Regions from separate parts of the Mus musculus genome. Here region 2 is reported to be linked to region 1. Evidence: microRNA targets listed by miRTarBase, many of them from high-throughput screens and not tested one by one. Region 1 holds a microRNA gene; the other region holds the end of a gene's coding sequence.
Evidence for each region. The annotated mature microRNA mmu-miR-497a-5p reads CAGCAGCACACUGUGGUUUGUA and lies in region 1 at 4,038-4,059, opposite strand. An mRNA with a match to its seed (bases 2 to 7 or 8) in the 3' UTR can be bound and repressed. Matches are read on the target gene's strand: a 7mer-m8 pairs with bases 2 to 8, a 7mer-A1 pairs with bases 2 to 7 and ends in A, and an 8mer does both.

Region 1 (8,288 bases):
GCAGCACGCAGGGTCCTAGTTTCAATCCCCAGCGCGAGAGACAGAGACACAGAAAGGCATGTACTTAGGAGCAGTCTTGCAAGCCACGTTTCCATGGCTACCCAAGCCCACCAGCTTAGATGTGGCCTCTTCCAATATTTTGCCTTCCTGCTCCTTGGTCTACCTCTGTAAAATGGTTACCATGATAGAATTCATTTGGTATGCTTCTTGGGAAGACTAATAGGAGTTAAAGTGCTTTAGCATGGTGTCTGATGCATAGAACTTGCATATTGGATGCTCTGAATGGCTGACATTTCCCTGCTCGCTCGCCACCTTCAGGAACGGTCCTCAGAACATATACAACCTGTACGAGCAAGTCAGCTACAACTGTTTCATCGCCGCGGGCCTCTACCTCCTCCTCGGAGGCTTCTCCTTCTGCCAAGTTCGTCTCAACAAGCGCAAGGAATACATGGTGCGCTAGAGCGCGGTCCGCCTCTCCCTCCCCAGCCCCCTTCTCTATTTAAAGACTCCGCAGACTCCGTCCCACTCATCTGGCGTCCTTTGGGACTTGTGACCCTAGCGAGACGTCATCCCTGGCCCTGCAAAACTGCGCCCAGCCTCTGGAGGAGACCGAGGGTGACCGCGCCCCGTTCTGAACTACAATAAAAAGAAGCGGTTCCCCCTAAGCTTGCTGTCTGTGCTTTCAGGGAGGGGCGGGCCCGGGCTGGAAGGGGCTGAGACCGGCCTCATCGAGGAGTCCGGACCCTCCGACGGAAGTGGAATGAAGCTAGCCGGAAGTGAAGCAACGTCTTCCACCTCGTCTTCCTCCGCGCGGCGAGGCCCCTTGAGTGACTGGGGAGAGGTCGGGTCTCGGCCAATCAGCTGCAGGGAGGGCGGGACTTCCTGCGCGGGAGCCCGAGCGGCCGGCTGCCGGGCTCTCCGTGGTTTCCAGCTCGCGTGGTGGTGGTGGCGGCGGAGCGTCTCCGTGAGGAGGTGCGCGGGGCCATGACGTCAGCGTCCACCAAGGTTCGACCTCCCTCGCGGACTGCGCTCCCTGGCGGCCACGGGAGGGTGGGCCCCCTGCCTGGCTCCCGGCTGGTGCGCGCTGGGCGGGGGGCGGGCGGATCCGAGGCTGGGGTGGGACGGCGCGCTGCCGGCCCCCCGTAATGCTGCTCCGCCCCCAGGTTGGAGAGATCTTCTCCGCGGCCGGCGCCGCCTTCACGAAGCTCGGGGAGTTGACGATGCAGCTGCATCCAGTCTCGGACTCTTCCCCTGCCGGGTACGTGAGACCAGCCTAGGACCTGGACTCCGAGATCAGACGCTTGGACTCAAGTCACAGACACGACCCTCTCTAGAGCAGGGAGATAGAGTAATTCCCCTGTGCCTGGCCCAGCTCAGTGTAGGTGGTAATTGTTGAATTAGTGGATGACAGGTAAAGAGACTACCGAGGCCACAGCCCTCCACTGCAAACCGACAGAATGTCTGCCACCTACCCCAAGCCCTGTGGACTCCCTCAAACTGCTGCCACACATCTTTCAAGGGTTGTGTTTGTAAGGCCCCTACTTGTTTCATTGGTTTCCGTTGGGTTGTTTATGGAAGCTGTTACATGATGAAGTGATGTTTTCAAGTGGCCCTGGATGTAATTTCATGTGGCCAGCGATTTGTCCCCAGGGCTTTTTTTTTTTTAAAAGGAGGTCCTTTTTATGAATCTTTGAAAGGTGCCCCTAGAGACTAGGGGGAAGAGGCTGCTGGCTGTGGACGGAATAGCCTGTGGGCTGGTTCCACACATCCCTCTTCCACTTTTGTTATCACCCTTCTCCCCTTCCGACAGTGCCAAGTGGACGGAGACGGAGATAGAGATGCTGAGGGCTGCTGTGAAGCGCTTTGGGGACGATCTTAATCACATCAGCTGTGTCATCAAGGAACGGACAGTGTGAGGGAGGGTGGCTGGCAGAGAAAGGGGAGGGTGGGCAACTTTCTTCCTCCTGACCCATTGTTCTCTCTCAGAACTCCCAGCTCAGCATCTTTCCTACTTTGTTCCTAGTTTTGTTAGCATTTCCTTGAAGACTGAGAGACTGTCACTGTGGCAGTTGGTCGGAAGATCAGGAAATGCAGTGGTCACTAGGGCCTGCAGAGAACTTTATTTTCATGGTGCCCAGATACTCAGTGGTTGTGTTTGATGATAAGAGTTCCCTAGCTATTTATGTAAATCCTTTGAAACTGGCATGTCCAGGGGATGCATTCTGAACTAATTAGTTGGTCAGGTTCTATGACAGTCTCAGTCTACCTTTATGTCACCACAACATACCTGGTGGTCCTACAAAACCATGCATCTCTCCCAGAGGATCATGAAAAGGGCCTTTCTGGCCACTCAGTTCAGGGACTCCATTCATCTTAATCTATTAGCCCTAAGTGGATGCAAAAGTTCTGAACGTGGGGGGGGGGGGGAGGACCCTTATTACACATGAACTGGGGCCTTGACCTGGATATCTACAAAGGAACTCCTAGAATTCCTTCAGAGTGGCCCATTATTCCCTCCCCTCCCCTCTTCCCTCGGCTTCTCTGATGACACCCTAATCTGCTCTCTCTCATCTTCAGGGCTCAGATAAAGACCACTGTGAAGCGAAAAGTGTATGAAGACTCCGGCATCCCCCTTCCAGCTGAGTCACCCAAGAAAGGACCCAAGAAGATGACGTCCGGTGTCCTCTCACCTCCAAACGCCCCTCCACCCAGCAGCTCCAGTGTCCCTGAAGCTGGGGTTCCTCCCATAAAGAAACAGAAGGCTGGTGAGGGCTGTGGAGTTGCTGCCTAGGGTAGGGGTTAAAGGTCCTATCTGAGATTCAATAAGAGAATTGGGCCTGGGTCAAAGAAGGAGAGACGCTTCTCTTCTGTACGCTGGTGATTCCAGAGTGGGTAGAGGGATGTGTAGAGCATGAAGCTTTGGCAGACTGGGAGGAGGGAAAGACAGCAGTCAGGGAAACCTAGAACTTAGCCTATGCCCCCTCCCAGATGTGACACTCAGTGCTCTGAACGACTCCGACGCCAACAGTGACCTGGTGGATGTCGAAGGGCTAGGAGAAACTCCTCCAGCCAAGAAACTCAACTTTGACCAGGGTAGGAGTCCTCCTCCTCCCACGCTGGCTGGGGGTGGGGAACATACTCACCTGGATGGTAGGGGAGGGTCCCCACAGAAAACCCCTTTCTGGTGCAGGGGCCTCAGAAGGAAGATTCAGTGCAGGGGAATGGGTCAGTTAGTAATACGGCGTTTGAGGAGGTGAGGGTTTTCTTGGAAAAATCCTCCACGCTTGCTCCATCTCTGTCCGTTTTCCTTCCTGTTCCAGACAGCCTGACCCTGGACTCTGGCCTCCTCACCACCTCCGCTGATGCTCCTCTCCTCTCCTGCTGAGCCTTCCACCTCTGACCCTCATTGTTCACCCTGGACCTGTGGATCACCTGGGACTCTAAGCAAGGACTGCCTGAGAGAGGGTCAGAGGGCTGCTGGAGCCATCCACCTCGTTCCTGATAACCATGTGCCCTCGCCCTTTGACTTCTGTGTGATGGACATTTTTATACAGAAAATTATAATTAAAAAAGATTCTCTCAACATGGTGCTGCCAGCTGCCGTTCCCTCTCCTCTGCTTCGCCCTCGGGGCTTGGCCCCTTCTCAGTAGCTCTCACCACCCTGCCTGGAGCAGCACAGCCAATATTGGCAGACTCACTTCCCCATGCCAATATTTCTGTGCTGCTAGAGCCAGGAGAGTTGGGTGTGGGCAACAAAGACTCTACTTTGCTCTGTGGGGCCAGAACTCATTACCAGGGTTCCTGATAACTGGTATCAGACAACCTGGGGGTTGCAGAGGGGCTCTTTCCAGTGTCTCCTGTCCCACCTTGCAAGAACTTCATCACAATACCCTAGACGGTGTGTGTGTGTGTGTGTGTGTGTGTGTGTGTGTGTGTGTGTTGCTTCTCCAGGGTGGCCTCCCAGGGCCAGGCTCATCGGTGCCTCCCATACCCTCGCTCTAACACCACAGTGTGGTTTGGACGTGGCCACAGTGCCGTACAAACCACAGTGTGCTGCTGGGGCGGGGGCAGGACTGGGGTGGGTCGAGAGGAAGACAGCACAGGCAGTGCCGTGAAGACCCCCACCTAGAGTGAGACAGAGGTGTGAATGGCAAACATGGCCCCCCAAAAAAGCTGGGGGGGGGGAACAATCAGGAACCAGCAAAAGTAGTTTAGCAGGCAAAGGATAGGGCCCTGGCAGATGAGTCCAATGTGATAAGCTTGGAGCATTCTTCACCTCTGTAGGAATTCAGCTCTGGGGATCCTTAGGAAACGGGATGACTGGGGAAGACCAACAAACTGCCTCCCACAAAGGCAGGGACCTAAGGTTTCCTGTGTCCATTCCTCCCTCCCTAGGTCAGAACCCAAGAGAAATGCTGGAAGACACAGGGCCAAGGACAGCAGGGTTGGGAGTTGGCAGTCCAGAGGTGGTGGGGCTGGAACACGGTTGAGAGAGGGGGGCCGGAAGTCGCCCTGGGCCCTGGGCCTGCCACAAGATGGAGGCCAAAGGCAGGAAATGGAGGCCAGGGAGAAAGGGATGCAGCAGAGCCCAGGAAGAGGCTCATCTGGACCAGAGGGCAAAGTATTCAACCCCAAGTGCTGCTTCCATTCCCCATGGTCCCCCAAGACCCACGCCCCACCCACACAGCAACACTCATTAGCCCATTCACCAGGCCCAGGCAAGCAGGCCCACCCCTGAGAGCCACGTTTAAGCAAAGACAAACATGCCTTTTCCCCACCCCCAACCCTAGGCCTTCCCATAGCCCTTTCCTCCTGTCCAAGACTTGATTTTAAAAAGAACCTCCCAGAAGGCAAAAGTTTCTTCTGGAAATTTCAAAACAAAACAAAACTCTGTAAACCCTAGATATTAACCTCCCATATCTCATCCCACCTTTTAGCACCACCAGGCTTCCGACACACCCCCCCAAAACTCTTAGCAATCAAAAGATTTAAGATGGTGTGTGAAGCAATCTTTTTAGGCCCCCCTAGTATGCCAGACCCTCTCCAAGACTACCAGATCACCTATATCAAGCCCTGCCAACGCCTCCTGCTCCTTGCACCCTCCTGGACCCCCAGAAACAACTGCTGTCCCCCAGCTCCCATCCCAGCAAAGCTTTTGTGGGGCTAAAAAAAAAAAAAAGCAAACACTGTCCTAATGTCTGTAGGAATATTGGGGGCTCTCAAGTCTCAAGCTTTGGTTTCAGTATGAGGTGCTACGTCTTAGGGGTACAAGAGAAAGCTTCTCTGGTCATCCCCCCAATTTCAAGAGTTACAAGGCGCAACCCCACCCCAGCACGCACCTCCAAACCTCCCCCCCAACCGCCACGTCTCTCCTGAAAACAGGGGACACTTTCCTCCCCACTTACCTCAGCTACTCTCCCCTGAGATCCTGGTCCCCTATTTTGAAAGGAGCAAATTTTGGGGTGCATCCCTCACATTTGGGGTGCAGGAGAAAAGAGACGCCCCAGTCGCATCGCTGGCCTCCTTCCTCTCAGCTGGCTCAAGGACTGGGGAGTGCCCTGGGGTGGGGGACCCCCACAAGAGAGCTCTGGAGGGGTTCCTCCACTCCCAGTCAGAACTGGGGACACCCCCCCAAAACCCGTCCCAGCCCATCCGTCTCCAACTCGGCGGGAGAGGCAGCTGCATTGCCCCAGTCAGATTCCCCCAACACTACATTCCTCACCCCATCTAGAGGGATCCCGGGGCCCCCAAAAAATCCCAAAAAAATCTAGGATGTTGGGAAGATGGTCCTGAACTAGCTACCCAAATTTGGGGTCCTTAGATACCCCCGTTTTTTCAGGAAAATTCTGTCTTTCTCCTGCCTCCCGCCAGCCCTGCTCTGTCCCGATGCCAATTTTGGAAGTCACTCCCTCCTTCCTCCTCCCCGTTTCTCCAGGCCCCCCCGCTTGGGGGCTAGGGTCCAGGACACCTGGTTTCCAGACCGGGGGACACTCTTTAGAAGGCTAGGGGCCAAGAGGTCAAGCTCATTGCCCCTGTCTCAAGGAAGCAGGAAAGCCCGATCCTCCCCTCCCCTCCCCTCCCCCCTGGCTGGTCTCGGTGGTGGTTTAGGAAAGCCTGGAGGACTGGAATCTGCCATTGCTATTGCACAGGCAGTTTTTTTTTCCTTGAGTTGGGGGGGTGGGCGGTGGGAGGGAGAGAGGGGAGGAGAGCCGAAGAGAGCAGGGACCTAGGCGGGAATATCTGGCCTGGCTTACCCTCTAGCCCCTGCTGCCGTTGGAAACCCCTCCCCCGCCTCTCAGTTCACCCTCATTCCCAATCCTCTGTCTGCTTTCTCTTTGGGGCTCTTATCTTAAAATATCAGGGTGCAAGATTCACCCCCCCCTTGTAGACCATCACAGCCTTTCCTTGCCAGTTTCAGCAGCACTGTTAGTCAGAAAGTACCCACTTTAACAAGAGACACCCCATCTCCTCCAAACGGATTTTTTCTTCCATAAGAAATCGGGGTTCAGAGTATGAAGCCACCTTTCCCCCCTTAGCACAACAGGTCATATTCCAGTGAGTCTATGATGGACCACACTGCTTTTTCCAGGCTTCACCCTTCAAATTCTGGCCTTATTTGGGGGTTCACTAATTTTTTTTACAATCTGGGGTGCCAGGGGACTATCAGCAAAAGATAACCTAAGTCAGAAGTGTGCTTTAGAATAGGTGAACCTCCAAATCAATTTCAATTTATGACCCACCTCTCAGCTTCACCAAATGTGGCCAGTGGCAAAACACCCAGAAACTGGATACCCCCCAAACTATCCTTCTACCCTGGGGGGGCTTCTCAATTCTCTCCTGTGGAGGAGTTTCACACATAAACATGTTCACAGGAATATCCAACCCTCAAAATGAGTTTCCACAAGATTCAAATACAAAACTTTGCCCCCCCATCAATCAAGCTCTCAGCTACAGAAAGCCTTCAGATCCTCTCCTAGCTTCTGGCTCTGCCACCAACTCAATGTAACTGGGCTCTCTAAAAAGCCCCAAGTTGACCTTTATGTCCCCAAACAATCTCATCCAAACCTTGAAACAGCACTTGGAAAGAGACTATGTCCCCCAAATTAGTTGCGTACTCATGCTCCCCCAGTAGACCAGAAATTAGAGATGGACAGTCTCACATGGGAGCATCAAATCCCTCCAAACCCCCGAACTAAGACATCTTTAAAACCAGCCCCGCACCTCCAATTTGCTATCAGCTGTCGAGACTAAAAACAGGCCTTATTGACTACAATAACTTCTATGGCAAGTGACACCCCAAAACTCAGAATAGCTAACTCTGTCCTGACATCAAAGCCCTTAATGTTTTCACCTCAAATTTGGAGATGAAAATTGGATAGAGACCAAATAATCTTCACAAAGTAAAGCCACATCGTCATCCAGGGTCCCTAGCTATCCCCAACCCCCAGTTGGTTTGCAGTTTTGTTTGCTACGTTTGCTTAAAAAAAAAAAAAATCAAAACCAATAAAACAAACAAAATGTACTCCACCCCCAAGAACAGAAGGGAGAGGCCTCAGGCCTAGATATGCTGGTCCATTCTTGCACAACTGCTATGCTCCAAACCCCAAACTCAAAGAGCTCCTGCTTTGTACCTGGGTTCAGCTCTGCCCCTCTTCTTCAAAGGAAACTTGTCCTTCTATCCCAAGGCTCCCCAAACAAAATCTAAGGGTGTGGTCCCTGCCTAGCTTCTGAATGAAGTACTTAGCTACCAGGTTCCTCCTGCCCTTTCTCCTCTGTCCTCTCTGTTTACTCCGACCAATGCTCATATTAATGTTCATTGAAAATTCCTGTCTACAAACATCTGGGTAGAAGGGTCTATCAAATTAGAAAACAAAACAACTGTGTTCCCAGGCTCAAGACCCCATCTCATCCTAACCACTATGTTCATTCCAAAGCCTTCCATAAGAGTTCTAGCCTGAATTTCCTGCGGAGACCCTAACTCTTCTGTCTTCGATCTACTGCCCCACAAAGAGACAGAGGTGCAGAGGAAACTATCAGAAAGAGAAGGCAGCTGAAAGTTTCCTGTAGCCTGGACCGAATGCATCCAGCTCACTGGTCTGAGCACATCACCAGCCAGGAGACCTAGGGGCGAAGCGAGGCTGGTGCTCGACCGCCCTCTCGTGGAAGGATGCAGACATTGCCGAGCTTTGCCTACTTGCCGCGCTGGACCCCGGCGTCCCGCCAGACTCTAAGCGCAGCCGACGGGCGGGTGCTCGAAGCCCTAGTAAGCTAGGACTGATGGAGAGCGT
Region 2 (5,446 bases), not on the chromosome of region 1:
TTAAAGGTGTGCGCCAGCACTGCCTGGCTCTGATTTGTATTTTTGAAGGATAAGACAATTGATTAATAATTCCTTCCTTTCCCAGTTTTATATCATAAATTGTTATTAGTTTAAAACCTTTTATTTTTAAAAATTTTGAAAGTATAATCACATGACCTCTCCCTTCCCCCTTCTCCCTCCGAAACCTTCCACATACCGCTCCTTGTTCTCTTTCAAATTCATAGCCTGTAAAAATACACTTTTTGTTCTTTGTGAATTTCATATCCCATACCCAGCCCCATTCACCCCTATCACTTGATAGCCTCCCCCCACCTTGCAACCTTCCTGCCAAAAGAAAACAGACAAGCAAAAAACATTCTTGCCATGGGAGCTGCAGTGTGCCCCACAGTACACCCTTTTGTCCACACATCTTTACTTGCAAATAAATGTTCACCGCAGTGAGTCATTGGTCTGGCTCAAGGCCTCTGGCTTCTGTTACACTTTCAATACAGGATCCTCACTGAGACTCTTCTCAGATATTCTGTGGTTGCCATGTGTGGTGGAGATCCTGCAGCTCTGGATCTGGAAGACCGGCCCCTTCACACACTCTAGCAGGTCATAGATGGGGTAGATGTTGGGGTGGACCAACTCAAAGCCCTGGATCTGAGCCTGGAGGGTAGCTAAACTGGTCAGCCTACCAGCTCTCCAATGAGCAACACCATCCAGGGTCAGCTCTCCCGTGCTGCCCAGCCAAGGCATAGGGCTACCTCTCCTGAGCCCACGGCCTCTTCTTTTCAATGGTGTTATAATATGCAATTTAGTGTGTTATTATTCAATCACATGCATATATGTATATGTGTATACACATATATTCCAAAATACAACCTGCTCAGTCTGTATAATGTTACATGTATCTAAGTTTTCCGGGCTGACAATTTGGTATAGGATAACCAACTCATGTGCCTCCCTGGGGAAGGCTATTTTTCCTACTCCCAACGTTCCTTAGGTATCTGTACTGGCTAGTTTTGTGTCAACTTGACACAGCTGGAGTTACCACAGAGAAAGGAGCTTCAGTTGAGGAAATGCCTCCATGAGATACAAGTGTAAGGCATTTTCTCAATTAGTGATCAAGGGGGAAAGGCCCCTTGTGGGTGGGACCATCTTTGGGCTGGTAGTCTTGGTTCTATAAGAAAGCAGGCTGAGCAAGCCATAAGGACCAAGCCAGTAAGCACCACCCCTCCATGATCTCTGCATCAGTTCCTGCTTCCTGACCTGCTTGAGTTCCAGTCCTGACTTCCTTGGTGATGAACAGCAGTATGGAAGTATAAGCCGAATAAACCCTTTCCTCCCCAACTTGCTTCTTGGTCATGATGTTTGTGCAGGAATAGAAACCCTGACTAAGACAGTATCTGAGGTCAAGTCTTCTTGAAAAAGAAAACATTTATTTTGTGTATGTCTGTGTGTGTGTGTGTGCATGTGTCACATGTGTGCAGGAGTTCACAGAGGTTAGAAGAGGGGCCTTTGGACCCCTGGACCTGGAGTTACAGATGATTGTGAACCACCTTGTTGTTGCTGGGCCTAGACCTGGGTCCTCTGCAAGGGCTATGAGTGCTCTTAACCGCGGAGCCATCTCTCCACACCCCTAACATAAGATCTTAGTTGTATCAACTGTGTGGTATCAGAAATGCTGAGGAGGATGAGAACCCCAGGAGAGAACTCACTGAGAATTTTGGCACGGTGCTTAGATGACAAGAAGCCTTGGACAGCCTTGAGGAAATGGGTCAGGAATCTTGATTCTTCTTCATCATTTATCATGTGACAGTTCTCCCAGTGGAAGGTGAGACACAAAACACAAGCTGTCCCATCTCAGGGGACAACTGTACAGGGCCTCCAAGTGTCTTCCAGGTGAGGGGAGACTTAAGGAAAGACAAGAGGCTGTCTATCTAGCGGACACTATTGAATGCAATTCTGGAACAGGAGAGGTGTGTGGGGTCTACAGCTTGGCTGGAGACAGAGGTGCCTACAGCAAAGCCAGAATGGTCACTTCTTCTTCTCCTTGGAAAAAATAAAGTGTTTTCATAGTAAGACTCTAGTAGGCAGAGACTGCAGAGACGAACGGAACCAGGTTGTGTACTCAAGAAGTGGAGTTTGCAGCTAAAGCAGCAGCTCTTTGCCATCTAACTTACGGACACTGCAGGGCCGCACTGGTTCTAACGCAGCAGTATCCCCCTTGACTAAGCCAGTTAGGGCCCTCACTCCCCTTGGCCAGTAACGAGCGTGGGAGCTTGACCCTGCCAGCCACAGAGAAATGTGGATGCATGTGGAGATGGTTCTGAGAAACAGTTCTTACCCATAAAAGCCACTGCTGAAAGAAGGGGCTCCCTGTGGCTCTTGCCACCTTATCTGCATGCTAGAACACTGAAGGTCTGTGACTATGACCCAAGCTACAGATGGAAGGCAGGTCCTTTTCATACCGCTACCTCAGCCAACCTGCCTTCCTCCTGCAGCAGGCCTTTCCCCTGCATTCTGCCTGTAAGCTTCAAGGCACAGGAATCTCTCCTCAGCTTACTTTTCTGCCTGTGGATCTCAGGATTACTGCTGGGGTAGGGGTGGGGGTGTCCCAGCAAAAACTCCATCTGCTCGGTGGCCGGGGAGCCATTATGATCTGTGCACGAGGCAGCTGGATGTCCACTTAAGCACAAGGGCTGTTGAGGACATTATGCCCCAAGCTAACCTGAGTCTATCACCATTTGGCAGCTCGTGTGATTACAGTCCCAGGGCAGGATCAGCTTTAGATCTCTCCTTTATATATTCCCTTGCCCAAACCCAACCCGACTCCCAGGCCATAGCATGCCGTACCCACCCTTCTGAGAGAAACCCAGCCAGTCCTGGCTCTTGTCTGTCCTCATGAGGACTGCATCATTCAAAACACTCATTACTTCTCCCCAAGACGCAGACACCACCACCCCGGGAATATTTTATATTCCCACCCAGAAGTTTTGCTCAGGAGCAGTCATGTGACTTCCTCTGACCACTAAAATGTAGCAGAAATGACTGGCACTTGGGAGTGGAGACTTCAGGAATAGCTGTGGCTCTGGGTTTTTCTCCCTTCTGTAAGGACACAGCAATGGGACAGTGTTGGGGACAGCTGCAGCTTTGGATGAGGGACACGACAGGGCTGGTGCGCTTATCCTAAGTAACTGATGGGATGAGCAGGCCCTCACTGGGAGACCCGCACAGTCATCTGTCCCCAAATGTATCCTGGAGCTGCAGCACGAGGCCAAGGGAGTAGACCTGCCTGTCTGTTCCTGTCTCGGAAGCTGCAGTCTGCACCGGACTCTGCTCTCTGGCCGAGCACTGCTTCCCTCTCCTACAGGCCTTGGCTTGGGAGGATGTCACTCCAGGACCTCTCCCTGTACAGTAAAGACACAACTCACTTAAGGGTAAGGAACTGTTTCATTCTCAATGTTCACATTGCTTGGAAGTACAAATAATCATATAAAATTACTTTTATTAAAATAGAAAGGCTTTCTAGTATAGTGCTGTATACTATATATAGAATATATATAGTATATTGTGGTATACTATATAGAGAATATACATATAATATAGTCTAGTATGTTGAAAACATTTAGACAGAAACAGGCAACTGTGACAGAGGTACATCGACATCGGCACTGAGATCCTCTGAAAGCATTAAGTGCCCACTTTCAACAACATTTTGGTATAATAAGCATATTGCTATATTTCAGAGGGTACATATAACACTGAAAAATACTTCATGTAAAATCTAAGTTCAGGTGCATACAAACAGGAAGTATTACATTAATAGCTTATTTCAAACTGTAAAACATTCAAAGTATCCAATTTCTTAGACAACATGCAAACATTTTACTATTTAGCCTGATATTTTAAATATATAAACCACATTCTTTATAATTCTATATCAAAGGAAAGTCGGACACACACTTATCCACACTGTGCACATTACAAAAAGCAGATGTGTCTTCATGAAAGTATGGGGCTAACACACATGATTGTCATTTTACAAATATGGCTATTCACCTTCATAATAAAATAAAAAATCATGTACTATTTACATGAACTCCTAATAATCTTACTTTTTGGCAGTTATATAGTAGCAGCAAGTGGTTTAAAGTCTGACCTTTAAACCTGTGGACTTGGTGAGTACTGGCGAGTGTATCTGGCTAACACAACACGGCAGGCATGACATAGATGCTTGGATGTTGTGGGGCCGCCCCCACTCACAGGCACAAATGACAACTGCTGAGAGGCCCAAGTGTGAGACAGGCACGAGTGTCACTTGGTCGTCTTGCTTTTGCTAAGCAGAGTAGAGTCCTGCCTTACATTTCTATGGAGTCAGCCTATGAGCTAGTGAGAATTCAATGATGTTTTTCTCCTCCGGCCCGCCCTGTCATGGCAGGTAGCGGCTTTTCACTGAGCCCTCAGCCTCCAGACACAGAAACAAGCACATGGCGGCCTCAGCACTCACAGGAACTCTGAGGAGACCAGGGCACCCACCCAAGGACAAAGGGGGCTGCCTCCTATAAAGTGACCATGCCATTGATCAGGGATGCTAAATTTGCTTTGGGGAAGGGGGGCCATCTACTGAGCGAGTGTGAACTGGCCAGGGATCCACCAGGAAGAGGCATCATCTTCATTATATTGGGAGAGTCTAATTTACCATTTTATAAACCAAGGCAAACCCCCTAATATTGGCAGGTGAAAAAAATACTGTGTGGTGCTAAGAGGTGCCACATGCCTTTGCTTGGTCACCAGCTAGCAGTCCTGAATGTCTTTCACAAGGTGGACGGCTGGGTGGAGGAAGGCTTTGCAGTTCCTCCCAGTTGTGGGTGGTCAGGGTCTAGTCCAGAGCAAGTGCACGGTGAGGCCCAGGCTGAGGAGGAGGAGCAGGGAGTGGAAGAGAGGCCTGCCCACAACAGCAGATGACGGGAGACTGCTGGAGACCTGCACTTGGGAAATGATGAGGGCCGAGAGTGGGACGTGGGACGCCAGCGTGGGGCTGTCGGAGTTGATGAGGGACTCGATTTTCTCTGCCTCCTTATTGCAGGCCTCAATCTGCAAGGGAAAGGAGCTTTCAACACAGAGCCTCTGCGCCTTCAGCAGGTCCAGGCAGCCACAGAGGCAGCTTGCTTTCCTCTGTCCCTACTGTCCGAGCCAGAGCTACTGCTAACGATGGGCTTAGCTTATTACACACATGTTAGACATCAATGCAAATTAGAAACGGCAACGCCACTGCCCTGGCCAGTCGGCCATTTGGGTTCTGTACTATAGCACAGCACACACTGCCTATGTCACTAGACAGCACGGCTACTGTTGGCACAGCTACAGGAAAGGCTTTCCCTCCTGCGTTAAAGGTGAGGACAGAGACAGGCTTGGACGGAGGCAGCTGGAACTGCTTCCATTCACCCACCTCCTTGAGTCC

Region 2: miRTarBase lists Reck as a target of mmu-miR-497a-5p. Seed matches in the 3' UTR shown: 8mer at 4,119-4,126.

The regions. Positions count from the first base shown.
Region 1 is chr11:70,230,501-70,238,788 of GRCm38, reverse strand. Mir497 (microRNA 497) reads right to left here and starts at 4,072; the gene lies at 3,989-4,072. It overlaps 0610010K14Rik (RIKEN cDNA 0610010K14 gene), which reads left to right and starts at 875. Exons shown (of 6, transcript NM_145758.1): 1 at 875-1,005; 2 at 1,164-1,258; 3 at 1,811-1,912; 4 at 2,578-2,765; 5 at 2,989-3,093; 6 at 3,325-3,585. The coding sequence starts at 985. The coding sequence ends at 3,329. It overlaps Mir497b (microRNA 497b), which reads left to right and starts at 3,973; the gene lies at 3,973-4,097. Mir195a (microRNA 195a) reads right to left here and starts at 3,747; the gene lies at 3,654-3,747. It also overlaps Rnasek.
Region 2 is chr4:43,942,777-43,948,222 of GRCm38, reverse strand. It overlaps Reck (reversion-inducing-cysteine-rich protein with kazal motifs), which reads right to left. Exons shown (of 21, transcript NM_016678.2): 21 at 3,417-5,079. The coding sequence ends at 4,858. Among named protein-coding and RNA genes, the nearest start is that of Glipr2, 12 kb to the left of the region's middle.